Linked DNA regions of Drosophila melanogaster. Changing the gene in region 1 together with any one later gene gives a genetic interaction. Each region holds a gene or a part of one and is shown in the gene's direction. Other genes may lie near its edges.

Region 1 (9,758 bases):
TGGATCCAAAGCACTTTGATCCCATGGCCGTTGCGGCTGCAGCCGCCAATCTTCAAATCCAAGGCCTGATGCAATCGCAGGCAGTGGCTGCCGCCGTCGCCGCCAATCAGCAGACTCCGGCGGCTACGACTACATCTGCTGCAGGAGGAGCTGCAGCCGGCCCGCAGGCCCATCACGGACACCATCCCTTGCCACCGCCATCGCAGTCGCCACACTCATCCTCTTCGTCTTCCTCTCATTCCTCGTTGGACCAGATTACCCACAAGAACGTCGCCGACTCCTTGCGGTGGGTGAGATTTATTAGATATTATTATTTTAAATTCTTTTTCTTGGCAAAACATGTGTACAAAGACTTATTTTTTTATTAAAACAAACAAAAAATATTGTATGTATTTGATAAGTAACGAATTAGGTTGTTTACAATATTATTTATTATTTGCTATATGTAAAGTAAATTGATCACTTTTAAATGTTTGCTTTAGGCCCTTAATTGAATTCATTTAACTTTTCCGATTTCAGTTCCAATCTGGACTCAATAGAATCGAATAAGGATCTGCTGGCGCTGCACAACGGAGCCTGGGCCACCGGCGATGCCAATCGAATGGATCACTTGGCCGTGGGTCAGGACAAGATAGTGCGCATCTTTGCGGAGCTGATGCGAAACATGTCGCGGATGAAAACCTACATACGTCCCTCGATGTGCAAGCCCTACGGCAAGCAGAGTGAGAGTCTGCAGAAAAGTGAGTACCTTGGCTGGGAACCGGTTTCGCTATCTGCGATGCTGACCGCCTCCTGCTTGCTCGTTCTCTTCCCCGACAGCCCTCATGGACACCATTCAGATCGTGCAGACGCTGCGCAACTGCCTCCCAGCTCCTCACATACCCGTGTCGTCCTGGAAAAGTGAGAGCGAGGGCAACGTGGGATCAGGAGTGAGCGCGGGAGTAGGAGTGGGTGTCCCTGCAGGACTTAACCTGGGCGCCGCCTTGGGTCTGCCATCGGGCAACATGCACTAGATGCGGGCTGGAGCTCATCGGGTAGCATGCAATAGCTCCGGATTTATCCACTCACATTCTTCCAGCAGTTAGAGAACACTTAGTACTTACACGCAGAGAAAAGCATAGATGATAGGCATAGCAATTTACCCTCGTAGGCGTGGCTCCAGTTTTCCTTTTAGCAATTACGTGCCATGTTCAACACAAGACTTGATTTCACATTTTCCACATTTGACTGACCTTTAGGCATACATATGTATCGAATCCCGCGGCTTGAATTTGATTCCCATCACTCTTTGTTTTCCAGTTTGGCATGCAAAATTATGAAGCAAATCGGCAAATTAGTTAAACAATTGGCAAAACGTCTGTGATATTTGAATTATGTTGGCAAACGGAAGACAAAACTAAATTTAATTTATTACGTTGTGTGCCCTCTGTTGTAATGTCTTACTTTTTACTTTGTGCAATATCTACTAAGCATATATTCTTAGCCGTTCTCGTGCAATCGACGACTTTTCGCCCATATCAAAAGCAACTCGAATGTAGCCTATACTTAAACTAACCTACTGATAATCGGACATGATAGACGCGTAAGACTTACATTATATTTTGCATTAGGACTTCAGAGTATCTGAATAACAATTGGCGGATGGCCGCGGTGGCGAAAGCGACATTACGAGTTGTGTTTAAATTTAAGAAGCTGAAGAAGGGTTGTACTCCGCATGCAAGGGCTATTTAAATATATATTTTAACCCGCCCGAGCTCACCATTACCAGAAATTCGATAAACGAGCAAACAGTATTATACGCAATAAAAAGACACCTGCAACCATAAGTATTTACCTAGCTGATGTGTGGGAATTTATCGTAACATACCATATTATCGCTTAATGTTTAACTTCTGGACTTAATAATAAATAAATATTTTATTCTACGACAAAGAAGAACTTTTCAATGTAACATTATTAACTGCTTTAAGTCATATCCTTAAACTTTCGCCTTGAAAATCTTTAAAACCCTACAGGTATTCCAAATTAATAATCTCAGGTGCTAGAAATTTAATTAATATATTTTGGAAACAGCATAAATTAGTGAAAATACAACATTGTTTTAATCAAACATTTTTAAAAGCATGTTTTCGGTTGCAAAGTTTTCCAATTTCAATCCTGAAATTAAAGTTGAGTTGAACAATTGCTATAAAAAGCGACCATTTATTACGTTTTATAAACTGTCCCGATTGTGATTTTAGTTGTTTATTTTATTTCATATTTAAAACCGTTACTATTTTAAAAATCGTTCGCTAAAGATTGTGCTTTTAAGCATTGATAACTATCGCTAATTGCCAGAATTCGTAATCTTATTTGACTTGAATTGTAAAAATATAGGATTTAGGATTTTTACCAAATAGATGTAGTTCAAAGAACACAATTCTTTTTATTATTAAGCATTTTATTTTGGGAGTTCCTTGCACTAGCTTTTTGCAGCGACCTGTGTGTAAGCTTACATTGAGATAACATTAATGTGAACGTGCAGCGAATGCAGCACTATAACATTGGCCAGTGGAAACATGATATTTGCTAGCATGCTGACTGGCGCCGTGGATTTTGACGTTCTTAGTTGACGGTCACACAGCGCACCGAGCTGCGTTTTTCGTTGATAATTTTTAAATTTATTTATTAGTTTATTGGTTGGAAATAGAGCTGCCCCCAACTGCCCGCTGACCACGGAATTATCGGTCCGGTCCACCGACCTCCGCTTTCACACACTATTCGGCAATCGATATATACGCTGACGGTAATTGGAGAACGTTTTTTCCATTTTATCTCCACCTTGTCCGCACTTCGTTTTGTGCTCTCTTTGTGCGCTGCCTCCGCTTAACATTTGGGCCTGTAAGAAACACATATAAGCAGAACGGCCCGCCGTGTGTGCCTGTGAAATTGGTTAAATAACGTACAGTGGAATGGGCCAATGGCCAAAATGCAATAAGAATATGTGTGTGCAATAAAAATAGGGAACGGTACCGTGCCCCAAAACATGAAAATGGTGCTAGACGCTCCTAACGCCGTGCCGAGCTGGCATATTTTGCTTAGCGACGCCGTCGGCTCCGTTTTTCCCGGCCGCGAACTTTGCGCGAGGAATTTACAACAAAAACAATGAATTAAATGGTATTTAAATTGTCCATATAATGCGGTTTGGAAATGCGAAATTGTGCCTAACTTGCCCAATGCAAACGAATGTTTCTCTTTGAAGGCCCTGCTTAATGACGTCACAAGCGTAGCAGAGTGCAACAGACAGACAACAATGACCGATGAGCATAAAAGTAACATTAACAGTAACAGCAGTCACTCCAGCAACAACAACAACAACGGCAGCAGCAGCAATAACGACAACAACAGCAACGACGACGCAGCAAGTAGCAGCAACAGCAAAAACAACAACACCAGCAACGAGAGCAGCCACAGCAACAACAATACTAGTAGCATAATTGCAGAGGCGGCCGCCAAGTTTCTACTGAAAAATGGCCTAAACGGCAGTAGCAGCACCAGCTACCCCCCTCTGCCACCGCCTCTGCCCGCCAACTTAAGCAGGACGACCACGCCCACGACAACGACAACGCCCTCATCCTCCAGCTCCACCGCCTCAAATGGCTTTTTGCCGCATGCCAAGACGCCCAAAAGTAGTAGCATTATGGCTGCGTCCGCCGCAGTGGCAGCCAGCGTCGTTGGAGCTACTGCGTCCAAGCCCACCATCGATGTCCTGGGGGGCGTCCTGGACTACAGTTCCTTGGGCGGAGCTGCAACAGGCTCACTGCCCACCACTGCAGTAGTAGCGGCGGCAGCGGGAACAGCGAAGATCGGCAAGGGAAGCAACTCCGGCGGAAGCTTTGATATGGGCAGGACACCAATATCGACGCACGGCAACAACAGCTGGGGCGGCTACGGTGGTCGTTTGCAGTTCTTTAAAGGTAAGTATCTTGGTTTATTTATACCGAATCAGAGCAGTGTAAAGAAAACCATTTTTTAACTATTCTGCGTAGATGGCAAATTCATATTGGAACTGGCGCGGTCCAAGGATGGCGATAAAAGCGGCTGGGTTTCGGTCACGCGCAAGACCTTCCGCCCTCCATCGGCGGCCACCTCCGCAACTGTGACCCCAACGTCGGCGGTGACCACAGCGTATCCAAAGAACGAGAATTCCACATCGCTGAGCTGTACGTAACACATGGCATAGTAGTTCCCAACGGATTACCCCTTCCATTTAATTACTTGACCCGATTGGAATCAGATTTGAGTAAAAGGAATTGGATTTTGAAACATGTGTAGATAGCTAGCTTAATCCGAGCGGTCAAAGCTTACAAACACTTGCAGTTATAAAAAACATGTGCCTATTTGACTTAAATTGTTCTAATGGCACGTAGAGGATAAAGTCCAATTTCGAAAACAAAAAATCTGTAAAAAACGACCGCACCTATGTTCAAATCTCTGATCTATTTTAAAACTGTATATATCGGCCATCTCTAATATTATATTTAAAATCTACGAAAATGTCAAACGTTTTAATGAAATAGTAAGAAAAAACCAAACTGTTCAGAATCGGTCATGTTCTTTGTATGACAGTTTTCCAATTCGATCCTATAAAATATAATGTCCTCCCATCCTTGTATACATTTAAATCCTATTTCATAAATTGTTAACAATCTGAATCAAACAAAAGCAAATATTTATTTATGCCAAACTATAATTAACTACTACAATTTGTCTATGTATACCTTGCGTTAATATTCCTCTTCATTGCAGTTTCGGACGACAACAGCTCGATACAATCCTCTCCTTGGCAGCGAGACCAGCCCTGGAAACAGTCCCGACCCAGGCGCGGCATATCTAAGGAGCTGTCGCTCTTCTTCCACCGCCCCAGGAACAGTACGCTTGGCCGAGCTGCTCTCCGGACAGCCGCTCGCAAACGACGGCGCCCCCACGAGCCGCTTACCACCAGCGAGGATCAGCAGCCCATTTTTGCGACGGCAATCAAGGCGGAAAATGGAGACGATACTCTTAAAGCAGAAGCTGCAGAGGCCGTTGAAATTGAAAATGTTGCTGTGGCGGACACAACCACAAATGAGATTAAAATTGAAAAACCGGACACGATCAAAGGCGAGGATGATGCTGAACGGCTCGAAAAGGAGCCGAAGAAGGCGGTTAGCGATGATAGCGAGTCAAAAGAAGCATCGCCCGGTCAGCAAGTGGAACCACAACCAAAAGATGAGACTGTTGATGTTGAGATGAAGATGAATACGAGCGAGGATGAGGAACCCATGACAGAGCTGCCCAGAATCACGAATGCCGTAAATGGTGATCTAAACGGCGATCTAAAGGCGAGCATTGGGAAACCAAAATCCAAGCCGAAGCCAAAAGCCAAGCTCAGCAGCATCATTCAGAAACTCATCGATAGCGTACCAGCACGGCTTGAGCAAATGTCGAAGACATCAGCTGTGATCGCATCGACAACGACGTCTTCAGATCGCATTGGTGGCGGTCTAAGTCACGCCTTGACGCACAAAGTAAGTTTTACTTGGCACAACCTGCATAAGCTGCGGTTTCAAATGTTAATCATGTACTGCAACATTTTTATTATGTTAAAGTTGTAAATCTAGTTAGGGACTTTCATAAAGAAAAAACTTTGAATTGACCACTTAAATATCTTCTTTTAGGTTTCTCCACCCTCTTCTGCGACAGCAGCCGGACGACTAGTCGAGTACCACACCCAGCACGTGTCGCCCAGGAAAAGAATCCTGCGCGAGTTCGAAAAGGTGTCGCTAGAGGACAACGGATGCGTAAACAACGGCAGCGGTGGAGCTAGTAGCGGTGGTGCTGGAGGAAAACGGAGTCGAGCAAAGGGAACTTCGACATCGTCTCCGGCTGGCAAGGCGTCACCAATGAACTTGGCGCCACCCCAAGGAAAGCCAAGCCCCAGTCCCGGCTCCAGCTCATCCAGCACTTCGCCAGCGACCTTGTCAACGCAGCCAACGCGGCTCAACAGCTCTTACAGTATCCACTCCCTGCTAGGTGGGAGCAGTGGCAGCGGTAGCTCATCCTTCTCCTCCTCTGGCAAGAAGTGCGGCGATCACCCGGCAGCTATTATCAGCAATGTGCACCATCCACAGCACTCAATGTACCAACCCAGTTCCTCGAGCTATCCACGCGCCCTGCTCACCTCGCCAAAGTCGCCCGATGTGAGTGGCAGCAATGGCGGGGGCGGAAAATCGCCCTCGCATACAGGAACCAAGAAGCGTTCGCCACCGTACTCGGCGGGATCACCCGTAGACTATGGCCACTCCTTCTACAGGGATCCCTATGCGGGAGCAGGTCGTCCTTCCACATCGGGCTCAGCATCGCAGGACCTGTCGCCACCGCGCTCTTCCCCAGCATCGCCAGCCACGACGCCGCGTACTGTGCCCAAAAAGACTGCATCGATCCGACGCGAGTTCGCTTCACCGTCGGCCAGCAGCAGTAGCTGTCCCTCGCCCGGCGACCGGAGTGCATCGCCCCCGGAACGGCGGCACATGCAGCAGCAGCCGCACCTACAGCGTAGCTCGCCGCTGCACTACTATATGTACCCGCCACCGCCCCAGGTGAACGGGAACGGCTCGGCCGGAAGTCCGACCTCGGCGCCGCCCACGTCGAACAGCAGTGCAGCTGCAGTAGCGGCGGCAGCAGCGGCCGCAGCCGCATACATTCCCTCGCCTTCGATATACAACCCGTACATATCCACACTGGCGGCGTTGAGGCACAATCCGCTGTGGATGCACCACTATCAGACAGGAGCGTCGCCCCTGCTGTCGCCACATCCACAACCCGGTGGCTCAGCGGCCGCCGCTGCTGCAGCTGCTGCTGCGAGATTATCGCCCCAATCGGCCTATCACGCGTTCGCGTATAACGGAGTGGGAGCGGCTGTTGCCGCTGCAGCAGCTGCGGCAGCCTTTGGACAACCGGCGCCCAGTCCCCACACGCATCCGCACTTGGCCCATCCGCACCAGCATCCGCACCCGGCTGCACTGACCACCCACCACTCTCCCGCTCACCTGGCCACGCCAAAACTGACTGATAGTAGTACCGACCAAATGTCTGCAACGTCCAGTCATCGCACAGCCTCCACTTCGCCGAGCAGCTCGAGCGCATCGGCCTCCTCCTCGGCGGCCACTTCGGGCGCCAGCTCCTCCGCAATGTTTCATACTAGTAGTCTAAGGAATGAACAAAGTTCAGGTAAGCATTCAATCAGTGCACCAATAATGGCAAGCAGTTTGATGATTCAATTTTCATTCCTCTGGGAATGTCTGAAGAAAATATATTACAGATCCATTTATTATGTTGTCAATTTAATGCACGTAAAACACAATTTAATAACGTTTCTTATTTATTTCTTCCTTAGACTTACCACTGAATCTGTCAAAGCACTGAGACATACACACGCCCCAGCTGCCCCAGTTTCTGGGCCAACCATTCGAGTTAAGAACATTTTCGCACTAGTAGCGCTTAAGACGACATTCAATACACGTAATATAATTTGATAAGTTCGCTGATAGTTTAGTTGTAACCCGATTGTTTAATCCTAAGCCTAATCCTAGGTTCTCAATTAGGGCCGAACATTTAGAAATCGCATACAAAAAGAGATGAAAAACTCAACTTTGTTTTTAAACCCGTTCCAGAACTCTTTATACAATCAGTTGAGAAATTTTATTTTCGACAAACTGAATAAAATATGCAAAGGAATTTTATTCTATGCCGACTAATGGAAAGAAATACTAATAAAAACATTTTCTATAGGATGTATAAAATGCAAGTCTTAAAGAATCTCAAAAAAGAGTTACGTTTTTTTCATCAAAACATTTCCTTGAAACAGACTGAACCTGAATTTTTTTAGAAAAAAAAAATGAAAAACTTAGTTACGAATCGCAAAATATAACATTTTAAAGTATATTTAACAAAACTACAAGAACAGATTTTTATAAAATGCTTGTGCCTTTAAAAATGGAAACAGAACTAGGGATACAAAAATTAATATTAAAAAGAAAAAGAAGTTTACTATAAAAACATTTATGTGCAAGCATGTGCAGGTATTCTATGGTGAAAACTTTAGAATTTCTTGATATCGTGGTCCAAAATGCAGTTGACAGGAATTTGCACTAAGCAGATTGTATACGACACCAACTTTTTAAGTACTTTTAAAAATGTATCTTTTAATTATTTCGGAATAATTATTCTAAAATAGTTAAAAGATAAAAGCAATCCAAAACTATACAACTCGTCTGTACTTCAAAACGAAAGAGATTACTCTTTGGTCTTACATTTTTTGGTAGACTGTAAAAACTAAAATTCGAAAAAATTGTTGAAGTTTGAATTTAAATCCTCGGCGGATCTAAATTTAACCTCCACGATTGTTGTCACCATCAAAAATATTATATAACTGTGCCTAGTGCACATTCGCTGTCAGTGGCTGTCCAATCAAAAACAAATAAAATGTACAAAAAATCCACATATACGACAAATTTACAAGAAACGGAAAGCAAAAAGATCCTAAGCAGACAATTTCAAACCGGAACTCGTACAACTGAAACTGATACAAATAAAAAACATATTCCTAACGCAAAAAGACAAAAACAAAACGCGGTTTCTCATATTTTCTAAATTATTTATATAAATCAAATGTCTATTTATATTTACTGATATGATAATGTGTAAGTAAATAGGTGTAATTGTAAATACAGTATTTTTACACAACAAAAAGTTAATCAATACGCGAGAAATAACCAATATATTTAATATAACTATTTTTATAACGGATTTTAACAAGTAACTGTATATTTTGTATCTGATTACGCAGAATAAAAAACAAAACGAATTCCATATGAGGTCAAGAACAGTTTGCACAAGGCGGCCTGAAACTTGCTTAAAACTTAATGCACTGAACAAAATCCGAACTAAACACATCTGTTCCAGGCAGATACAAAATATTTTCCAATGGAAAAATGGAGTAGATTCATTTATTTTTTACTAATCAATACATAAATCTTTCAGTTCGAAATTTTTAAGCAAGTTGCAGTCGGCTAAACTTTTTAGTAGGCTTTAATGAAAATTAAAAAGAAATATAAATACAATTTTCATACAAATTCCATATGGTTTCTACTACCTACTGATTAGTTAGTTAGATAGGCGTCTAGGGACTATTAATTTACATTTGTAACGGTACTGTGTACGACGTTTTTGTTTAACTGAACGGTAGTGTTTTTAATTTGAAATTCGATGTTTTTAGTGAGTGGCTATTGTTGAACGAACACATGTACTATGTGCATTGTCGAACAATGTGCGCAAACCCAAAAAAATAATTTTGGCAAAAAGTGAAATATATGAAGTAAGCAAATGGTTTCAAGATACTGCATCTCGTGATGTTGGAGTGTGTGTGTAAAGTAAAGGAAACAAAATTAATTTTAAAGAAATATATTTTATATAGGTATATATACTGCAACTGAATACTTGATGTCAATAAAAACTTATACTAAATGTATGAAAACGTATCTACGAAAGCTTTGCGTTGGGCATGATTAATCCGATGATCCGATTTCCCCATTAAAACGACGTTAGTTATTGAGACGAATGCGGTCTATCGTAAACGTAGAAGCACATAATATATCTATATTTTTCTGGTTTCGCTTTAATTGTATACATTCGTTCGTTTCTATATTTGATTTCTTTCGTTTTATTGTATTTATCCA
Region 2 (8,449 bases), on another chromosome or scaffold:
ATGGGCTTACTTATTGGCGATACATCAATCAATCTTATAATGGAGTCATTAGGTAATATAATTTTAAAGACCATTATGTACGAGTAAAGTATGCTCTAAAATGTGTCAAAAAGCTAATCACTTTGGTTTCAAAATTAAAGTAAATAGCACTTAACAAATTTTAATTAATCAATTACTAGATAAGATATGTTTCGTACATATTTGAGCAGTATTAAGATTGAGTCATAACTATAACTATAACCATGCTACTATATTTTAACTTTAGAAAACGAATTGTATGAATGAATATATCTGTCTATAACAAAGAATAAGACTTTCCAGTTTACTTGTGGGCTAATGTGCTTAATTCTTTGAAAGCCAATAGCAAATGCTGAAAATTGTATATGGTGGGAAAGAACCATTAATGAAATCGTTATATAACCCATCATATAAGTTCCCAGCGAACTTATCATCAAGTTTTGTTTATTTGGGCTTTACGGCTGTGTGCCATGCGTAAGTTTTGGATGCCTCACAAATAAATTTCTAGATTTCTCCTCGTGAATCATAAAGGCTTCGATATCTTAACTATGTATGCAGTTCATTTCCGGTTCTTAAAGTACTTACACAGTAGCAGCACAACGGAGACGATTAGCCAGCAAACCGAAACGCCCAGGTAGACCGAATTCCAGATCAAAATCTGGGTGGGATCAAAAACAGTAGTCACTGTATTCAGGATGGTTTGGTCGTAGTTCTGGTAATCACTGGGATTCATCTTGCAACTGCCCTTGAAGTACACGTCAAAGAATACAGTCTTGACCATGGAGCCATAGGTGAGGTCATTTGTAATATACAGGACACAATTGTAGGCACATATCGCTGTTATGGTCAAGCCCATCCAGATGATGGACTGGGCCTGAAATAAAAATAACAATAAAATAAGAGGAGTTCTCAAAACGTCAGAGCCACACTGAATAAAAATGAGCACTATTTTTAATCGGTTTTTGTTTGTCATGTTTTTTTAAATTTATATTTATATTGAAAATTAATTAAATAAAATTGTTTTATCGTTTGTTCTTCGTGTTCCGTCATTAAAGAGGTTGGATGGCTTCTAGATCGTGATATTATTCATACCCAGCGAAATATCCAATTTTGTATGTACTTATTTACGTTTACGTTTTTTAGTGTCCCAATCTAGATCTTTTGTTCATTCACTTGTTTACACACGTCAATCGGCATTATCTGATATCTGTGGTGCGGCTCAGTTCTTCAGTTTGGGAGCCGTCCCGGATGAGTCAATGAGTATTATACTCGTATCATGATTAGCTCTCCGACTGTTGGAATACTGGACTATTCGATAGGGAGAGACCATCCAATCTTAGTAAGTGCGCTCAATGTCAGGTCGAACATCTCCCCATATCACTTATCGATGAGCTGGGAATGGGGTCGCGGTCGCTTGGCGGCCTAGACTGTAACATTGAATTGCCAGCGCCGACTTACCACTCCGAGAATTCCGGCCCAAGCTGCTACCGTTTTAAGGGAGCCAAAGTGCTTGATTTTTGCCGCTGGTGCTGAATACATTTTGCAGTGACTGTTCGATATATAGGGGTGGTTTCCAGATACTGGGAGATATTCTCACGCCCCGTATGCGGGACTCAAATCGATCGGGTTGAGTGCGCTTTTGCAGTACGCGACGTCTGTTGGCCAACTGAACGATCGAGCCGGACAATTGAGTTCGCCACCCGTTTACTATATTTCCCGATAAACCTTGCGATAATGGCTCTTATAACAAAAAGCCAACTGGCCAGGGGCTTTTATTTTTTATGTTTCGCTTCGATCGAGGCGGTATCCGCTCGCTTTTCGTTTCGTTCGTTAACTGAATTCTGTGGTTTGGCTGGAACGTTTATCAGGTCGTATGTTATATTATCGCTACTGATAAGAGAGCCCCCTTCCCTTCAACTTTCCTTTGGCTAAAAGATATACCTAAATCGAATAGGTAAAACTGGAATTTCGGAATCTTATCGGTCCTATGTATTAGCACATTAGTGATGTTGGCCTTTATCACTGCGTAAATGCAAGTATTTAATGCTTACCTCACAGGTTGGGTATGCCAAATATTTACGAGGAGAATATTTGTGAATTTAAAGTGGGCGGGCAAAGGCGCCCTCTACTGTCTACAAAACGCACTGTTAATTTTGACATTGCATGATAGGAATGACGCTGAGCCTTTTTTCAAGACAAAATGTGCTAATTATTTACCTTTTACAAATACAAGCACAACAAGTAAGTATTTATTTGTATTTAACCACTCAGCAATCGCAATAAGAAAAATAAATGCTTTATTATTTCAAGTAAATAATTACGTTATCGTAATGAACGGCAACGCTGTGAGATTTTCTCTGTCTGACCATGGTTGACCTCCCAGGCAGCCGCCATTTCCGTGGCGTGCGAGTGAAACGACTAGCCCATGTTTTCCCGCCGTGCCAGGGCAGCGAGCATGCTAAAGAGCGAGACGACCATACGCGTCCGTCGAGAACTGCTACAGCACATACGCATTTTTAACCCTAAAAAATACAGCACCGAGTCTTTAGTACAGTCAAAGTGACGCCGCGACAACTCAGAACGAAACCGAAAATTAAAAACGGAAGAGATTGTTGTTCCTGGTGTCCAAAAAAGATAGATTGTTTCGTTCGAGTGGCTCATCCGTACCCGATCGATACATAAATCCCAGCAAGCTGCCAAACCGGAGTGCAGAAGTGTAGTTTGTCGTAATCGCCGATTAATATTGAAAGGTAGCGGCTTGCAGTTGCGCGTGTAGCGCCCGCACAAACCGAATAACACCATCACTACGGCGTGCTCACCTGAATCCAAAACGCCACGAAATGAACAACCAACTGAATCCGGCCACCTACCGCAAGTTTAACAATCTGCTCAGTAGCGGAGCGGTCACTGTGACCGGTCCCAGCCAGCCGCGAATCCTCAAGTCGACGCGTATGGTGGTACCCGGTGGTGGCGGAGGAGGAGGTGCCTCTGCCGGAGGAGCCTCAGCCGTTGGCGGCGTAGCACAGCAGCAGGCGGTCAACGATGCAGAGTCGGGTGGCGTGGGTATCGGCGGATTAGCCACGCGATGCTATATCTGCGATGACCGCTGCGAGCCACAGACTTCGCTAACCGATATGTGCACCACGCACACTTCCACCAAATTCCCCAACAAACTGGCCCAGCTCGTGGGCGAGGGTTTCCTCGTGATTGTTTGCGGCGAGGATTACGTGTGCTCACGCTGTACCAACCTGGTGAACTACTACGACCGCCTGGAAAACGATGTGGAGCGCGTCAAGACGAACCTCATCAGTTTGCTTAACAAGAAGTATGCCATTAACGAGGATATGGGCCAGGAAGGCAGTCCGCCGCTCAAGATGCAGAAAATGGTCGGCGGATCCGCCAATCGCTCGTTGGAGGAGAGTCCTAGTGCGGATTTGCTGCGTCCACGTAAACTCCTGCAGGGAAACCCAGGTAAGTACATAAATACAGAAATTATAAAGCTTTCCTAATGCATATTCTGCAATCGTACAGTTGGCCAGTCCAAGATCGCCCCAGGAACCACCCAGAGCAGCGTCCAAGGCACCCAGACAGTCCAACGCAAGGCCACCAAGATTTATAAATGCACCTCGTGTGACTATAAAACCTCGGATATGCGGCTGTTCAACACGCATTATGAAACCTGCAAGCAGCAGACCTTCCAGTGCAAGACCTGCCGCAAAATCTTCCCGCACTTTGGGGCCATGAAGCAGCACATGGTGCGCGACCACAATACCGCCATGGATAACACGTGTGCCATGTGTCACATTAACTTCGTGAACGAGAACAGCCTGCGCAAGCACATGGAGACGAATCACGCTACCAATGTACTGGTGACCAGCACCACCACCATACCGGCATCAGCTGCTCCCGTGGCTGCTGCTGCAGCTGCCGCTGCAGCTGCTGCCAACGAGAATCTGGTTGGAACATCGCTATACACATGCAATCATTGCCAGTTCAAGTCAACGGACAAGGTCGTTTTTGATGAGCATATGCGCAAGCATGCCGCTGGTAAACCTAAGCCTTTTAAGTGCCGCCTGTGCTCTCAGCGCTTTGAGACGCGCGAAGCTGCTACTGTGCATGCCAAACAGCATCAGACCAACTTCTTCAAGTGCGGCACTTGTTCGATGACCTTCCCGAAACGGGAGATGCTTGTTAAGCACTTCGAAGTGCATCAGAGTCCTTCCGCATCGACGGTATCGCCCAAGCAGTCAGTTAGCCAGAACCTGAACACCCAGAAGCTCCTTCAAGAGACCATTGATGAGGCACTGAGCGATAGCCTGCCTGCTTCGACAGCTGCTGTGGTGGCAACCACCGAGTCGGAGAACAACATACGCTTCTTCTCGTGCAGCATTTGCTCACTGACTTTCATCCAGGAGACATACTACAACCACCACATGGAGACCCACAGACGTGACAAGAAGGCAACTTCGGCCGGAGCCACTGCCCTAAATTCGGCAGCTACGGCTTTACTAAGCGATGAGCCCGGAGAGGCAACTGGTAAGGCCGGTGACGAGAGCGGCGAGCAAAACGCAGAGGCCGACATTGAGAGCCTGTTTGAAAAGCTCCACTCCGACAAGAACGAGAGCGGTGAGGCGCCCAAACCGGGAAGCAAAGGCGGCGAGATGGTTATTACCTCGCAGGAGGGCAGTGGAGGCATAACCTTCAACATTACTATCCCGCAACCGGACGGAGACCAATCGCAAAAGGATTCGCCCAATACCACAGCACCTGTCTCTGTTAGCATTGACATGCCAAATTTGGATCAAGCCGAAGACGAATCACAGTCCCAGGGCAGCATCGATGCCAAGGGCGAAAGCGGCGAGGCCTCCTCTGCCGATAGCAAATCCAATGCCGCACCGGTTTCCATGCCCAGTTTAGATGATGACAACGAGGCTGCAGCTGCTGAAGCTGAGGCCTCAGAGGAAACCAAGACGGCTAGCAAAGCAGGTCAAGAGAAAGCCAAGGCCAAGGCTGGAGAAAGCGCCAAGTCAAAGGAAGCCGCCGCTGCTGAGGAACCACAACCATCTGACGAAGGAGACGTAGTTGCTAAGCGTGAGGCTACAGATACGCCCACAACTGAGTCGGAGGCCAATGCCACGACCGCTGAAGCCGGTGAATCTGGCGAAGGCGAGGTTACTGCCAGTACTGGAGCCGAGGGCGAGGCGGGTGAAGCTGCAGGTGGCGAGCATGTTGCCATGGAACTTGACGAAGCCATGCAGGCACAGGTGGAAGGTGGCCAGATCAAGTTCATTGTTAACGAGAACGGCCATCTCCTCCAGCTGGACAACCACATCCTGACGGACGCCGAAGGCAACCAAATAATTGTGCAAGATCCCGAGCAAATACAGCAGCTGCTCCAAAGTGTAGGAGTTCTGCAGTCCGGCGAGGGACTTGAGGGCGAAACCCTCCAGATGATGACCGATGGCAGTGGCCAGATGGTACTTGTCCATGGTGACAACAATGAACAGCAGCTTATCGATGCCTCCCTGTTGAACTCCGAGGGGCAGTTAATTATCCAGCAGGGACAGGATGGTGAGGAAGGCGCTCATGTCATTAGCGAGGATGGTACCCGCATCCCAGTGTCCGTGTCGTACACGGAAGATGGCCAGCCCATCGTCCAGGTTCAGCAACAGGTCCTGGAGGCCGCACAGCAGGCAGCCAGCGCTTCCGGAGGTGCAGATGACAAGGAGGCGGCTGCCGACTCGGCCGGCGAGGAAGTGCAAGTGTCGGAGGCATCTAGTGGCACGGCATCCACCACCGTTGTTGCCACGAGCACGGCCAGCAGCACTGGTGGCCCCTCCGGCGGCAGCTTTTTTGCCCTGGAGGAGTTTACGGAGACAAAGACCGACTAGGATTGGCCCTAGGGGCGTGGTCATGACCACTATACCATACTGGCATGCGAAGAGGACTGGTAAGTTAAAGGAATCACCAGCGTGAACTGGGATATTCATACTTTTTCGTTTGTTTTAGGTTTTAGCTGTGGGCACGCTCAAGATCTCTGGAGGACTTTTGCACACCCCAATTTGAAACCCACTCCCTGACACCCACAACCGAACCAACTTTACAGACAACTGAACACGAAGACAGAAAAATACACACACGAACCTTTTCAATATATATTTACATTTAGTATATGTATTAAACACTCCAGTAAACTAAAAGAAAGATTTCTTATTACCCAAGCAAAGGAAAAAAACTAATTCAATAAATCAAATTGTTCATTCGGTCCGTTTCGCACTAGGCTGCCAGGGATCTCAAGCCAGATCTCTTTGGTTGCCTCTTAAATATCGTATCTAGGTTTAGTAATAGTATAGACAAAACTGCAAGATGAAAGCGACAAAAAATGTATAAACATAGAGTTTATGTGAGAAACTTGGAATATAATAAATGTATGTATTTACAAGATAACTCAACAATTACACTAAATAAATCGATTTAAACACAAACATTTGATGAAAATTAAGTTCCGAAATCGGCACAAATCAATTCAGAAATAGTGATGCTTCCTAACACCTAGTGATCCCCGTAAAATGTAAGGATAGGTGAACAATCCCGCTTTCCACTTCCATAAACTCCAGATTCACACCCAAAACAAACAAACACAGGCCGCAAACACGCCCAAATATATGCATGCACGTATATATGTCAAGCAACTTGAAATATATAATTGTAAAGAAACGAACATCGGTTTCAAGTTCCTTTATACTCTGTGAGCGATCTTTGGAATTTGGTATGCATGTAAATCAATTCAGATAAGTTAATTAAACGCGCTGATGGCAACTGTGTTCCAATGAATACAGATGACACAGAAGGCAGTCCCAAAGTTTACATATTGTCAGTATGGATCCAACCATTCATTTCTCAAGTCAGTAAGTTCGTTGACCTTTAAAATGGATTAGTCGGTTATGAATGATATTTTCGAAGTATGCATACCAGCGAAACTTTCGACTCGTTCTTAATTGCCCAACACCTGTTGGCGGCGGATGAGGTCGACTATATTTAAATGTTCAGGTAGTTGATTAATAAGATTTAATACTAAGTTGGATACTAAACTGCCAGCGGTGGCATTAAAGCATTTGGACTGTCATGAAGGCCTTATGAATGCCCCGTTCCGATCCATAAATCAGTGAATGTTGTGATTCTGAAAACAGCAACCGGATTGGCACGTGGATGCGGTTTTGGAGGAACTAATGATTATTTCATAGTTATGAATACAAAAATAGGACGCGTACAAATTGGTGATCTGCGCCTGCGGGTTGTTTGTCATTTATATAATGGATTTGTTGAAAGGAAGATAAGATAAACGAACTCGCCATGAATAATTTATATTCGAATACGCTTCAATGGAAGGGAGTTGTTCTAGCAACTAACTCATTCACTTACACGGTGAACTTTTGGCGATGGGCGCGGTAATCTTTTCGAGGCCGGAACCAAATTGGGGATTTAGTTTGAGCCGACAGCATCAATCAGCAACTTGTTGCGGTTCGGTGACATTAAACGGTGTCAACTCCACTTGGCTTGCTAGTCTGTCGGTTACATTAAGTCGCTCTTCGAGAGTCGGTCAATATTATGCAACGGCCTTAATTAGGCGCCCACATGCAAATGAGCGACGGCAGGCGCAATCTTCTCGCCGATTGCCGCATCGAAAAGCGAAAGTCGTTCTTAAAGACAAGGTCGCACTTTGTATCGGATCAGATTGGATCGGATGGGTATGACAGATTTATAGCGAAGCTCACAGATCTAGGGTGCGCTGATGAAAGCTGACATTTCGGTGCGCTTGATTCGCTGGTCATTAGCATAGAAAACATGACTTCGACTAGTTTTGCGGTCCATAAATCTTAAGCTTTAAAAAGAGCATTTAAAAGAAGCATTCTTAGCATATTTCATAATTATAGTTGCCGGTTTCAACACGCTCTCGATAAACTAAGTAAGACTAAAATTGCGTTTCACTTATAAGACATAAGCATTAAAACTGGATTTGATTCGTTTTGCACTCCATGAGTCTTAGCTTTCTTTGAGACAATAGTTCTTAAAAAAGTTTTCTATTATTACCAAGAAATAAGATATTATTACAATTACATTAAATTAAAGCGTTACATTTTATTCATTCTTTTCTTCTGCATCTATTAAATAATTTTTTTAATTTTTATATTTTTATTTTTACCGATTTCTTTACCGATTTCCTTATTTGCATGTCAGTAAGCATAACCCCTATGGGTTTTTTAAATTGAATTCCACAAACATGCTTATCATATTTTAGCCAGTTTCACCATTGCAGTACTCGTATAATGTACGGATTTTGATTGCAATTTATTGAACATAGTTCCTGCATTTAGGCAAACTTTCCGGACTCCAGGAACGCAGATCAATTAAGTCTAGCACTTTATTTATA
Region 3 (6,630 bases), on another chromosome or scaffold:
ATAATCCACGCAACTAAATTTAGCACACACCAGCAAGAATATTCTTATTTTGTTTGTTTTCCGTCAGCTATTCTAAGTGATAGTTTTTAAAATTGTGAGAAAAAAACTAGAGATGTTAGTTTTTTATGTATGTTTTTGTATGTATGGGGTCGAGATGTAGTTAAATTAGTTGTAAATATAAATTCGATAGTACTAGCTGTAAATAGTAATTATGTTCTTGATTTATTCAATATACACTTCCTTTTTTTTAAACCATTTGGTGTTTTGAATTTTCTGTTTGGCGGGCGTTTGAAGCGAACATGTTCGAACCGAAGTGCCGTAGCAGGCAGCTATAGCATTGCAGCTGTCTGGCAAACACACTTAAAGAAATTGTGCATATATACAGAATTGGTAGATTTGGTAAGCAATATTTAATTCTTGTTTTTTTTTCCAGTTTTAAACAAATATCGAACGCAAAAGAATTTACTATGTGACATTTTGGCGGGCATTTTTAATTCATAGTAACGTTAAGAATTTTCTGAACTGTTAAATCAGAAGGTTGTCTTTTTCGATTGGCCGCATCGAATGCAATAATTTCCACCTTATTAAATGTCTGGGCGCCTGTTTCGATTTTGCGATAGATATCAATCCCCAAAGTAGAACCCATAGTCAATACGTAAAACAAGAAAACAAGCACAGTGTTACCTATTCGGAGCGAATTACTTATAAAGATTTATATTTCACACATTTTTAAGGACATTTTCCGTATGAGGGGCGCCCGTGTTATAAATTTACATTAGGAAATGTTGAAAAAATGTGTCAATGGAGCTCGCCTATTCTTTTTATGCATAGCTATAGCTATTAGTGGAATCTATACAGCATCGGTTTCTTGTATTGTACGCCAATCTCAACATTACATTCTAGACGTAGTACAAATGGATTAATAGTTGATGGTAGTTAGGCTACAGCTATTGTTCAATCACTGCTCTTCAATTAAAGAATTTTGATGTTTGTAAACCGAATTGGAAAATCTTAGCTTTTTGAGTAGCGACAAGAATTGCTGACCGTCCGCTCTACGGGCTGATTATTGATTGAAAAGTAAGATGATGGAAAGGAAAAAAAAAAGTTGAGGCTCGGGCTTCGGAAATACCTAGCCTAATACAGGCTTTCGGTATTTGAGGAGCGCGGCTTCTTTAGCTTCTCGAGGTTCTTAATAACAATGTCGTGCAGCGAGGAGTAGCGATTGCGGACCTCACAAACGACCAGCCACAAGCTGAGGTACTCCTTCTCGTCAAGTTCGACGACTGCGCGCCGATAATCATCGATGTGCGGATACTTGGCCACCTTGGACACCACCTTGGCGCGCGACAAGAAATAGCGCGATATCTGGTCAAAGAAGGCGGCCGCCTCGGATTCCACAGTTTGAATTTCGGCAAGCGTGTCCTCTTGAATGGAGACGCCAAAGTTGTTGCCATCCTCGATCTTGGGTATCATAAAGGAGATCCACATCTTAAGTAGATTGGCTGCAAAAGAAATCAATTCAGAAATTACTAGGTATTCATTAAAAAGCTTAATGTCAGGCAAAACTTTAGCTACTGGCATTTGTACCGTTCGAATGTAAAAATTCTTGGAATTCATTGTTTTAGGAAAATTGAAGGGGCTCTTGAATAGCATAAAAACATTTATTAGGTTGAGACGCTTGAATATACGGTGTACTTACAATCCTCCACAAGCTTCCTGATGATAGGCTTGACGACCTTGATCATCTCGCAGAGCGGCTTGTTGCACGGCACTGTACCGGCGGGCAGACCCATGACAGGCTGCCCAGAGACGATGACATCCACGCGCTGGCGCTTGGTGGGCAGACTGTCACGATCCTCCAACTCGTTTTTAACCAGGAGAGGCGGCAGGACCGGGATGTTGAGGTCCTGGTGCACTTCTTCGAAGTTGCGCTCGTTGAAGATCGGCGTGGCCAGCAGCTCGTTCAGCCGGACGATATTCTCCGGGAACCCCTTGGTGATTAGCAGCTCTGCCTTGAGGATCAACGAGTCCTTGTACTCCTGCACCTTTACCACAGTGTCGTTAGGCATTTCGTTAGCTATGTGGATTCCTTTTCGTGTCCGTGGAAGCCTTTGATCCTGAGTCCTGTCTCCTGGCGTAGTACCGGTTCTTCTCGTTCCTTATCTTCTCAATAACAATCAGCAACGCGGACCGTCTGAAATCGGCGGACTTTTAGGGACTTGTGTCGGCGGATTGCGAAATTGAAAGCGGGAAAACCAGACTTACCGACAAATTTTGATGCCCAAGCAACAACACGCATGTGGTGCTAGAGGTGGAAGAAAAAGAATAATCGATGCTTATCGATAGCGTCGAAGTTTGCAGAAATTTTGCAAATTAATACCCCACAAGTATCTTAAATATCTTGAATGTCAATATATATTTTTTCTATACTTTTTTTAGATTGAAAGTCTTCTAATTACTTTCAGTTTCATAAACAAATTAGCTGAACATTAAAGTTGGCAAAACATATTTAAATGCATTAATGTACATTGCAGTTGGCATCATTTATTTAAATGCAACAGCTGAAGCTCGCTTCTCATTTACCATGTTAAACTTGCATATACTTTGTTGTAACGTGATTAGAATTTAACGGATATATATCATGAAATATAAAGAAATAAGACGCGCGCCATTTATCGATAGTCTTGTGTGCACCGCGTGCCAGACCGATAGATTTGTTTAAATACCAAGTAAGTTTATTATGTCTCCCTTTGTGCAATTTAAAATGTTTTCATTTAAATATCTATATTTTTAAAATATTTTCCATATATATATATTATAAGTAATATTAAGCTATTAATATTTTTAGAGCAAACACGCTATAAATAAGTGTGCCCAAATATAAGTTTTAGTATACATCGGCATTCTTATCAATAATCGTCAAACTGACGTTTTCTCGCTTCACCATTATCGATTCTCATCGATGTTTTTCCAGCTCTATCTAGTTGGCATCTCGTTAGTTGCGATAGTTGGCATGTTACGTGTGTTTTCGGCTTCGTCGCTTCATTCTCGTCTCGTTCTCGTTTCCTTCCTCCTTTATTCCGATTCCTCGTTTTGCGTGTATTGCGCGGTACAACGCATACGAACAAATTTATCCGAAGCGAAATACCGCGTGCAGCAACAAAAGAAAAACACACTCAACAACAACAACACACACGCATGCACACACGCATGCAGTCATTATCGCAACACCAATAACAACAGGAAGAACAACAACAACAAAAACATTTCTAACGCGCTGAAAATTGCGGAGTCCAGCCTTTTATATTTGCTGCATTTGCTATCTAACTTGCCGCACAATTGTTCTGTTCCGTTGACAGCATCAAAAACGCATTGTTAAAAAGAAATTAATATATAAATTTTAAACAAAACACAAAAAAAAACCAAGAAAAGAACGAAAAACGCGTGGGTGCGCGGTCTGTTGATTTTTTTTTTGTGGTTAACAACAACAACAAGAACCATCGGAGGGACGAACATCAAGAACAACCACCGTTAGCAGTAAGCAGGAGAATCAAAATGGTAAGTTTAAGTTAGCTGGCTTTTTTGTTGTTGCCGTCAATAGCATGACTTAATATAAATTTCTTTGTTGCTAAATTTTGACACACTCACATTTACCCACACACACATGCATAAAACAAAAACAAAGCGGCTGCAGAAGCTGATGAAGGAGAATAATAATGAGAAGAAGGAGCAGTAGCCAACTCATTCAATAATTGTTGTTTCTCCTTTTCTTGCGCCTTTCGCTCTTTCCTCGTCCACCCATTTTGTTGTTGTTGCTGTTTTTTTTATCTGCAATTGTTTTCTTCTGTAATTTCTAAGGATGCATTTTATATCGCAGATTCGCGTGGCCTGGAACCATGTGTTTTTCTCTCCCTCTCATACTCCCTCTTAGCGCTCGCCCCTCTCTTTCGTGCACACACGCTGAGTTTAGTTTTGGCGTTTTTTCCCCCGCACACGAGTTAAACGAATTCAGTCGACAAAAGTTGCGCTAGGTTAGGGTTAAGGCCATGCGACTCAGGGGCAACATGTGGGTTAAGACCATGGGCGGGGTATGGGGCTATGGGTCTATGGTGCATCATTGAATTGAGGATGACAACTATTTTTCAGGGGGCGGCATCGTTTTGAATGTTATCAAAACTATGACCATACAATTTCTATTTCTACAAATGTAATTTAAATTATATAGTCCGTAATAGTGTTGCTAATCTATTCAAAGAATCATTTTTTATAAAATATGTTAATAATATTTATTTGTATCATCAATTACTGGAAATTTGATATACTTATGCCAGCTTTTGACTACTCAAGTGTTTTACAAGTACCGCAGCTTTACAGTGATTGATTTGTGAAATGCTTATGCTTTTGTTTACGTGCAAAGAAAATAACTTTAATTCCTCTCAAAATGCACATATTTGTTATCTAAATTATCCTTATCCCTATGATATAATAATACGATTCACAATTTGTTTTCTTGATAAAGAAATAGATTTGATTATCGTTTATTTACCCGGATTTATTCGTTATTATTCCAAGTTTTTTTTTCCTCACACTTGTTGCTCGGCATGAGCGACGGAACCCCTGGCAGAGACTCAAACCACTCACGCAAAAGTTCGATAGAATCCCCGCTAAGGGGTTTCCACTGTAGAACTGCAGTTGGTGCAGCTGCAGCTCAGAAATGCATCCTGAGAAATGCGAGTTGCCCCTCCCACACAAGCTGCGCTGCTTTTCCTCTGCTGCAGCCAGAGCATTTCTGATTGGGGAGGGTGGGTAAGTGGTCCTACGAGCCGTGTTATGTATCGCCGTGTCCGCTTTGGCCAATGCATTCCGAGTTTTTTGGCGCCTGCGCTTTCACATTTCCCTCGGCCCGGTCAACATCTCTTTGCCAACTCCTGGGAGCGGGAGCCTTTATTAGCTAAATCTCTCCCCATTTTTGTAACATTTTTCAGGTCTATTTTCCTTGGCCTTTGTTTGTGTCCTTTTTTGTCCGTTTTTATCTGCACCTTTTGTTTTTATTTTTTCATTCGCCTACCCTGCTGATAAGGGTTAATGTTGTGGCTGTTTATTTTTCGTAATTCATACCAACTTTTTTTTTTTTTTTTTTTTTGGCAACAACATGTTGATGTTTCTATTTGTGCGAGAGGGTGGTTGATGGAAACACATGTTTTTGGCCACAGATTTTCAACATTTCCCTTGTTGCAAGGTCATTCGTTTTGATTTTATTTTGTGTGTCAACAAAAATGTTGCAATCCATTAACAGGCGGAGGTGTGGATGAAATATTGCGGAGTTAGAATTGATTTGGGAGTGAGAACTATGTTTTCGTTGAGGAATGCATTTCAGATGCTAATAGCGAATTCTTATTTTTATCTTTTGAGCCTAATTAAATGACTTCAATGTAAATGATTAATTAATTAAGTATCTAGTATCTATCTATCCTAGCCAAATACAATATAATAATATTCATTTTAAAGAGGTGATTACTTGAGTTAAGCTGGTTTTTGAAATCTGATTGGAAAAATGTTGAGAATATATCGCACTGTCGTAGATCAGTTTTTATAGTGATCGATCATTCCAGCGGACGTTCACTGTCCTCACTGCATTTGTTTGTCTCGGCTGCTTCTGTTTGCTTTGCTTTTGGCCCAAGTCCCTTGCCAGTTGTTTTATCCCGGAGCACACAGAGGTACACGGTATATATGTTTGAACGCATATAGCCAGCGAACGAGCCAACCAGACCCGTCGCCACCCTCCGGCGCCCACCAGCACCCTACCCCTTCCCCAAGGACGTGCCCACATCCACAGCCACAGCAGTCTGTCTTGCTCTAATTGCTGTACATGCGCTGCAGATTGCTGCTCCTCCTGGCACCCCCCCCCCCCTCATCCTCCACAACTTTCGACCTGCTCCAGTCCCCCTGACCAACCCCTTTGGCCGCATTCAGCTGCCAACTGAGCCAAAACCCTTTGGTTTAAAGGGGTTGGGGTTGAGAGGGTGGCTAGAAGGGTTGAGGGGGTGGTGTGGTGGGTGGGCCGTGGGATGCGGGATGTGGGGTTTCTGGGAGCAGAGAAAGCACATGCATATTACGCATAAAGGAGGAAACTTCGTATCTCTGCATGCCAAACATTTTGTTGTTGCTACTTCGTTTAATTTCCACAAGCGGAGGGGGTGGGAAAATGCCAACCCCTTTTTCGTTCTAAAGTGGGGCACTGTGGTCCGCGACCATTTTGTGTTATGAAAAGGTTAGAATGGAATAAATCTTAGTTTGGTAGATACGATAGTTATCTTAGTGACTTCTTCAAACTCTAGTTGGAAGATAAAAACAAGATAATGAATAAATTTATTTTAATAAAATAAGCAAAGAAACAAACTCAATTTATAATCCATATATTAAAAAAAATAATAATAATAATAATAAAATAGGAAATATTTCTTTATTGATGATACCTGTATGGCAATTAACTAATTAATTGGGACATGCTGCTTCGCACTTAACCCACTGTGTCCTTCGCCAAGGGGTTGGCCTCTCGCGTTTGTTTATCGGCCTGTTCCCAGTTCTACGTTCTACGTTCTACGTTCTCCGTTCTTGCCTTTCGTCGTC
Region 4 (6,999 bases), on another chromosome or scaffold:
TGCGTAGTGATAAGAAATTAACTTTGATTAATGTTTAAATATTATGAAAAATCCTTCTTGTGAAACACTCGAGTGTAGCACTTTGTATTTGTTTGTATTTGTTGTCTTTTAAGCGGCTTTATTTTACTTCTTTTTCGGACTTCTTGAACTTGACTGACAGTGCTGTTCCATCTCACTCACTCATAGTGCTTCGCTCTCTTTCTCTCTCAACTGGCGCAACTCTCTTACCCCTCGCCATCACTTCTTACCAATTTTTATTACATGGAGTGAGTGCAACAAGAAGTGGTAGGCAAAAGGAGAATAAGAAGGTAAAAAACAAGAAGTTGCTTAGGTAGAAGAATTGCTCCTTCTCTCTCTGTCTCTCTTTCTCATCTTCCACTTTATTTCGTCTTCTTCATGGATATTCTTATTGTACCTTTTTTTTGTGCTTCTTGTTGTTGTCTTGTTTATTACCTGCTTTTATTTTTTGTTTTCATCTTATGCGCCTACAACTTTACTTATTTTTTATTCTTATTTTTTATATATGTATTAACTTTAATTCACTTGTAATTCAAGCAGTCTTCAAAACCGCAGATCATGTTGTGGGTTCTTAATTTTGCCAGCCAGTTTCTTTTTGAAATTCAACTCCTTCTTCTTAATCTTCATCGTGATTCTGAAAATGTTTTTTTTTTTCAAATTAAGAGTTGAGTTTCATATAGACTTCCTCATCTAAGCCTCTCTTTTCAGAAGAAGTCGTAGATATCAAGTAATGAAAATTGAAATCGATTTTAGGGAGAAGAGTTGTATTTGTAATCTATAAAGCTACGGAAGTAGAAAAATGTTTATCCGTGACTGTCCCTATGGTTAATACATATTTTAACCCAAATTTATGGCGATTAATATGCAAGGAAAGTAATGCTAAGGAAATTACCAGGATCTACGAGTAAACAGCAACATTAAGCAAGGGATAGGGATAATTAAGCTGGATTTTCGTGTGCTCCTAGCGAGGGAAGGAAGAAAAAAATGGGGGGGGGGGAGTGGTTGTGTTGTCTAGTCGTCTTTTCACCTGAGGGAAATGGGGGCGGGGCCAGCCCGCCAACCCAAAGGTCATTTGTATGCGTCTTTAGTAGCGGGACATGTCCGGCGTTTTATGATGAGGAGAAATCACCTTGGGGCCCAAATCAAAAATTCAATAAACATTGAACAGCGACGACAGAACAGACAGAACGAGCAGAAAATCTGTTTTAAAATTATTTACCATTCTTGGGCTGCTTGTAAGTCCTATGCATTCATTATGCAAAGCGCGTGGCATGACTGCTAAATAAAAATATTGAATATGCAGAGCCACTTCAGCTGCTCAGAAACAAAGCGGAAAAAATCAATCATTCGCGGTATTTCTCAAAAGAAAAAAAGAAGAAAAAACCCTACATAATACCAAGACTTAGTGCTACTGTTTGGGTAAATTATAACAATTGCGTACTGATTTTAGTGGATAATCTAAACACTATCTATACTATACTATATACGGTATAATTGTTATTTGAAAGTACAAACAATTTTAAGTTTTTTTTTGTAACCTGGCTCGTGGGTGTGGTCATAAAAAAGTCTAAGAAAGGTTTAAGCTGCTGAGTGTCGTAGCAGTGAGGTTTTCGTCTCGAATATAACGTGTTTTTTAGAAAACGGGTTTACTTGAGGTGTGCAAGAGGAAGGAGGTCTCTTCACAAACTCTTAAGATAACTGGTTTAATGTAGATCGCTACAGGGGGTGCGAAAGAGATGGACATAGCTATGTGCGAACTTAACGAAGTTTACTTGCCTTCAAGCTCGAACTTGTTGCATGTACACTATCGCCGCACCTTTCGCACCACTCTTATACCCGTCACTCGTACAGTTAAAGGGTATACTTAATTCGTTGAAAAGTATGTAACAGGCAGAAGGAAGCGTTTCCAACTTTATAAAGTATATATATTCAGGATCAGGAACAATAGCCGAATCGATTTAGCAACACACTTTCTAACACTTTCGCATTTCGCATTCGCATTTTCACTAGCTGAGTAACGGGTATCTGATAGTCGAGAAACTCGACTATACCATTCCCTCTGGTTTAAAACCAACTTGTTGCTGGCTTTTCTTATTTATATTTTTCTTGACTAATTTCCCGACTGGTTTTTCTTGTTGGCCAAAGAAACGAGTTTTCTTGGAAAAAGGCACTCAAAACCTCTAGGAAAATGCAACATGTTGCTAAAGGCAAATTGAATTTCCATACAAAATTGCTTCTATTCGTTGCTGCCTTAGGCTCATTTTCACCATTTGGGTCCGTTATCGACGAAAAAAATATAAAATATATAAATACGCATACAATGTTTTTAAAACCAAATGAAACAATTTTTTTTCCAAAATGGGTTTACTTCTCCTTAAAAGTTACATATAAAAGAAACTACATGATGATTTAAACTTAAAAACAATTTTAAAATTATTTCAAATTTATTGGTTCTTTTGTTGAAAACATTACATGCCTAAAATATAAAGGCAACATTTATTATTTGTTTTCTGAATATAATCAAACTTAAGAGAAATTCGCTATTATGTTCTCTTAATAAAAGTCGAGTCAAACATGTTAGCTTAACTTAACAGCGCTGTTAACGGCTCTCATCAAACGCGTTCGACTCGAACTTGTGCGGACTGTGTTGTGGAACTTGAATTTTGCGGCTGCGGCTCAAATTTTCGTTTCCCTTTCTCTGTGTGTTTTCCCATTTCGGATCGAACGCTTCGTGGAAAAGTGAGCGCGCGTTGTCTGAATTTCCCGCCGCGTTTTTCGTCGATTTCCGCGTGTGTGCGAACAACAACTCAGCAGCAGCAACAACAACAGTCCCAATTTATTGGGTAAAACGCAGAAAATATACTAAATTTGAGGTATAAAATTGAAATTTATACAAAATTACTGTGCACAGTGTATGTGTGTGTGTGGTTTCAGTGGCAGTGGAAAGACCAAAAGCAACGGTATACAAAATCAAAACAATGCAAGCAAGCAACAATAAATACAAAATAATAGATTTATTTCGAATAAACAACAGTTAAAACTTTAAGAAAAGGAAACGAAGCTAAGATAAATAAGAAAAAAACGCAGCATCTGCGTCATCTCTATCTCGCTCCCTCCCTCCCGTTTTATCCACGATCTCTGACGATCGCTCTGTCCCCCTCGCACTCGCACATCTTTACCGATTTACCTGGGAAACAGGTTTAGCGTCCATTTCGTGTGTATGTGTATGCGTGCGTGTGATTGTGTGTATAACGTGTATTGGTGTGTTTCTTGGAAACCTTTTAAGTGATTTTCTTACCTGCTCAAAAGTACAACAAAAGCAATAAAAACATGTTGCAACTCTAAAGCAACAACAAGCACGAAAAAGTGTGAAGCATAAATGCAGTTATAACTGTGAAAAAGGAGAGGTAGATAAAGGCGAAGCAAAGATATGGATAAATGAGATGAAAAAGAAAACTTAAACAAAGTAAAAAAAACCTGTTAAATTTTTTTGATATATTAATAATAAAAAATATATTATTAATTATTGCAAATTTATGAAAAAAAAAAAACAATGGATGGATACAACTTAAAAGAATTAGTGATAATACAACAACTGCCATAAGGACTTGGATTATAAACATAAACTGCACTTGAATAACTAATAAAAAACAAGAATGCCCGTGGAACCACATACAACATCTTAACCCCACAAAGCCGAGCAATTTCTAATCAACAACACCATTCTTAACCCTTTTCAGTTGTTCTTCTTCGTTTTCGGCTATCCGTTCAAAGTTTCGTGTGCAATAAATAAAAAATACTATATCGTCGAAAGCATAAAAACATTAACCAACGCAATGGAGCGTTGCAACAACACCACTAACTGCGAATTGGAATAAGAAGTCCAGCAAAAGTAGCAAAAATTGTTTTTGCAAAGGGAATTGAGAGTAGCACCCAAAGATAAGCAAAAACAGTAGAAACATATACAAAATATATTCAAAATATAGTCACAAAATGAGGCGAAAAACTACCACGAAAGGGACGGCAATAGTCAATAGCAGGAGTGCGAGGAGAGCAGCAACGACTATATGCAACTTTTTTCTCATCGGTAAGTTTACTTTGTTCGTTTGATAAGAAGCTTTTTGTTTGCAATGGAGTTATATATGTATATAATTGCTAAGAAGATTACCCAGCTTTTCTCGAGCATTATTCCAGAACTTAAATATCTATAGGGGGTATCACTTGAGTTCATTTGTTTATCGGTGGTAAGATTGATAGCTCCCGATAAATCCCAATCTATTCGCTAGCTCACTCTTTGTGTTCGGCACACGCATATCACAAATCAATTAAAAGTTTCGGTTCCGCCCTTGACATACCCTGCTTATGACAGCTCCCCTTTTTCCGCCACTTTCCTCCGGCATTTTCCCCCTGTTTTTTCAAGTCGCCTTTGCTGTTGTCACCTTGCGACGTCACTTTAGTTTTTTGTTGATCTAGGTTGTTGCAGCTTGACGTCAGCGTAAAGTTTTTTATCTGCTACCCAAGCCTCCCCAATTTTCCACGCAATTTTCCGCAGCCCACCCCTTTGTTGGCTCCTGTCAATTGGCAGCATTTACTAGGAAGATATTGAATCGGTAGCTAAAGTAAAGTCGATATTCCATGAAAAAAACTGATTAACCATGTATTTACTATGTCTATATCCACACTTGACAGTCTGAAAGATATAAGTATCGTCTTAATTAAAAATTCCAGCATAATTTTCCACTTTCCAGATGCTCCGCATCAGTTAGGAAATGCTGTTATTATGCAAGAATATTTACTGTGTCACAAATAAAGGGCGCAAAACTGGGGGAGAGGACACAGTGGTATAAGTATAGGAAAAACTTTAGTTTGGCACGCTTCGGCAAAGTTTTTCCCTTCCGCACACATAATGCTTTGCTTACAAAATGCTTTTTAATACTTAAAGAACCCCTGGAAAAGTCGGCAAAGGGGGGGGGCTGGGGCTAAATTTAAATGTGAATTATATCCACTCAATCGGGCAAATCGGTCAAGGGAAGTCGAAAAGGGGAGCAGCCAGTTCCTTTTTATTAATTTGTCTGGCGATTAGTTGGGGGCTAGTCCCTCTGAGTTTTTAACCCCCTCAAAAGATATATTGCACCATTAACTTTATGGCGCTCTCCGCGTTTTCAGCTCGTGTTTTGTGTGTGTGCAATCAGTTAATAAACAAAACGTGTTGATTTGACATCTTAATTGGGCCTTTGACACGCGTTTTCCAACGCTTTTATACGAACTACTCGTAAAAGTCGTCTTTGAAGCTTTAACTGTCAACGCCTCCGACCGAAAAAAAAAACGAGAAATCAATGAACTCTCTATGGAGGCTTTTTAGGCCTCAAGCTTCTGGGGAATTGCTCCACTCGGGGGCATTATTAGATTTGATGACAGTGGCCAAGAGGGAATTGACATTTAAAACAGGCACGCGGATCGGAGGGATCAGACATTAAAAACGCATTAAAAGATTAGCAACGAGGAATGGTGGAAAACTAAAGACCTTTGGCGGCTTAGGATAATAATTACTTGGTAATGTGCAAATGGGCTGAACTAATAACCTTAGCGGTTTCGTGCTTATATATGTAATGTATAAATAGTTTAAAAATATTTAAATATTTATTTAAATAAACCAACATTTTCCAAAACGCCCCTTCCATGATTTATTTTTAGCCATGTCTTGTGTCTTTTTCCCACACCATCTACTTGATTGTCAGCACATTTATCCTGTTGATCCTTGAAGTGCATTCCAATTTGGTTGAGTTTTCCTTGGAAAATCCCCGGTGCCGTTGTGTGTACAGTAAAATGCTCAAGGAGCAGCACAGGATATTGCTTAAGAAGTGCTCGAAAGGCAGTTTGCAACAATTTGTGTGCGTCTCCTTTGGTTTTTATGTTTATTTCGTCTGCCTTTGGTTTTTATTTTCGTTTGTCTACCTGCTAACTGTCGCCCTTTTTCCTGTATTTCCATGCCGCTTTCCCTTTGAGTTTTCCACATTCATTTCATTTCCTGGCTTTTCCAAATGCCTGCGCTCCTAAAACGTTACCTTACCCCGCCATTTTCCCACTTTTCCCTCCGTGTTTTTAGCGCGTGAATTATGATTGTGGCTTAGTTTTTCTCACTTTTCCGGAGTTGTTATTGTCCCTGTTTTTTTTTTTTTTTTGTTTTTTGGTCCCCTTCATATCATTTTCCACACATACACACACACACACTCGCACACGCTTGCTGCAAAAATATCTGCAACTGCTGCAACTTTGAAATTAAAATAAATTAAACAAATATTTTGTTTGTTTCAAACATTTTTTACGTGCAAAATTCAGCGACGTGTGCGGAAATGGGTTGCCCCCCCCCCCCAAAAAAAAAGAGCAAAAGAAAGAGAAGGGACCACTGGTGCAGAAAGAGACAGGTGGAGCAGAGGCTGGCAACAGATGCGGTGGAAATGAGAAACGCTTTTCCTGCAGAGGAAAATTTATCTATATGCACAATTTGCATTTGCAAAATCAAAGCTGGATTCCACAGGAAAGTGGAAAAGAGGAGATGGCCAGAGGCATTGGCTTCAAAGGGGATTTTGAGTTTAGATGCAATAAATTGGTTTAGCCAGCTGAAAACTTTGTTGTCCGTTGTGGCAATATTGATACTTAGAGGGTTGGGTTTTAGTAAACAAAAGAAATGACAAACTAAAGTTGAAATGTGTTTTGGGCATTCCAGCAAATTATGGCAGTTATTTTGTGCACAAAGAGGCAATTTGTAAAGGCATTAAATCAATATTACGGTATTGCTATAAAATAAGGCAGGAATTTGAAACAAGTTGTATAGCTTTAGAACTAATACTGTGTATTCCAAGTTTGGAATTTAAAAAGTGGCCAACATTTAGTTTATGTTTCCCCGAATTTCAATCTAACCCCATGGAATCGGAAACACAGCTTTTTTGCCTCTCTGCAAATCACCCAAAGTTTTATTTT

Evidence for each region.
Region 2: of H (region 1) and pzg, changing one suppresses a phenotype caused by changing the other (phenotypic suppression), as found in Drosophila melanogaster (2 studies listed by BioGRID).
Region 3: of H (region 1) and sno, changing one suppresses a phenotype caused by changing the other (phenotypic suppression), as found in Drosophila melanogaster (2 studies listed by BioGRID).
Region 4: of H (region 1) and ed, changing one suppresses a phenotype caused by changing the other (phenotypic suppression), as found in Drosophila melanogaster (3 studies listed by BioGRID).

Annotation. Positions count from the first base shown.
Region 1 is NT_033777.3:20,619,343-20,629,100, forward strand, and holds H (hairless), read left to right. Parts: upstream 1-2,595; 5' UTR 2,596-3,153; coding exon 3,154-3,156; exon of another isoform or gene 3,157-3,241; coding exon 3,242-3,956; intron 3,957-4,028; coding exon 4,029-4,202; intron 4,203-4,788; coding exon 4,789-5,549; intron 5,550-5,699; coding exon 5,700-7,251; intron 7,252-7,417; coding exon 7,418-7,446; 3' UTR 7,447-9,573; downstream 9,574-9,758. Other genes in the region: CG5466 (uncharacterized protein), read left to right, coding at 1-286, 520-740, 820-1,013. UniProt on the Drosophila melanogaster protein: Is a potent antagonist of neurogenic gene activity during sensory organ development. The expression of distinct cell fates by the trichogen (shaft) / tormogen (socket) sister cell pair depends on the level of H activity.
Region 2 is NT_037436.4:21,283,579-21,292,027, forward strand, and holds pzg (putzig), read left to right. Parts: upstream 1-2,520; 5' UTR 2,521-2,858; coding exon 2,859-3,489; intron 3,490-3,549; coding exon 3,550-5,909; 3' UTR 5,910-5,968; intron 5,969-6,027; 3' UTR 6,028-6,732; downstream 6,733-8,449. Other genes in the region: CG12974 (uncharacterized protein), read right to left, coding at 604-892, 1,477-1,557.
Region 3 is NC_004354.4:13,208,028-13,214,657, reverse strand, and holds the start of sno (strawberry notch), read left to right. Parts: upstream 1-2,983; 5' UTR 2,984-3,555; coding exon 3,556-3,558; intron 3,559-6,630. Other genes in the region: REG (proteasome regulator gamma), read right to left, coding at 1,135-1,502, 1,700-2,069. UniProt on the Drosophila melanogaster protein: Notch pathway component, may contribute to the specificity between lateral and inductive Notch signaling pathways in the wing disk. Required during many developmental stages including oogenesis, embryogenesis and imaginal development of the eye, wing and leg.
Region 4 is NT_033779.5:4,028,665-4,035,663, forward strand, and holds the start of ed (echinoid), read left to right. Parts: upstream 1-2,712; 5' UTR 2,713-2,891; intron 2,892-3,758; 5' UTR 3,759-4,011; coding exon 4,012-4,105; intron 4,106-6,999.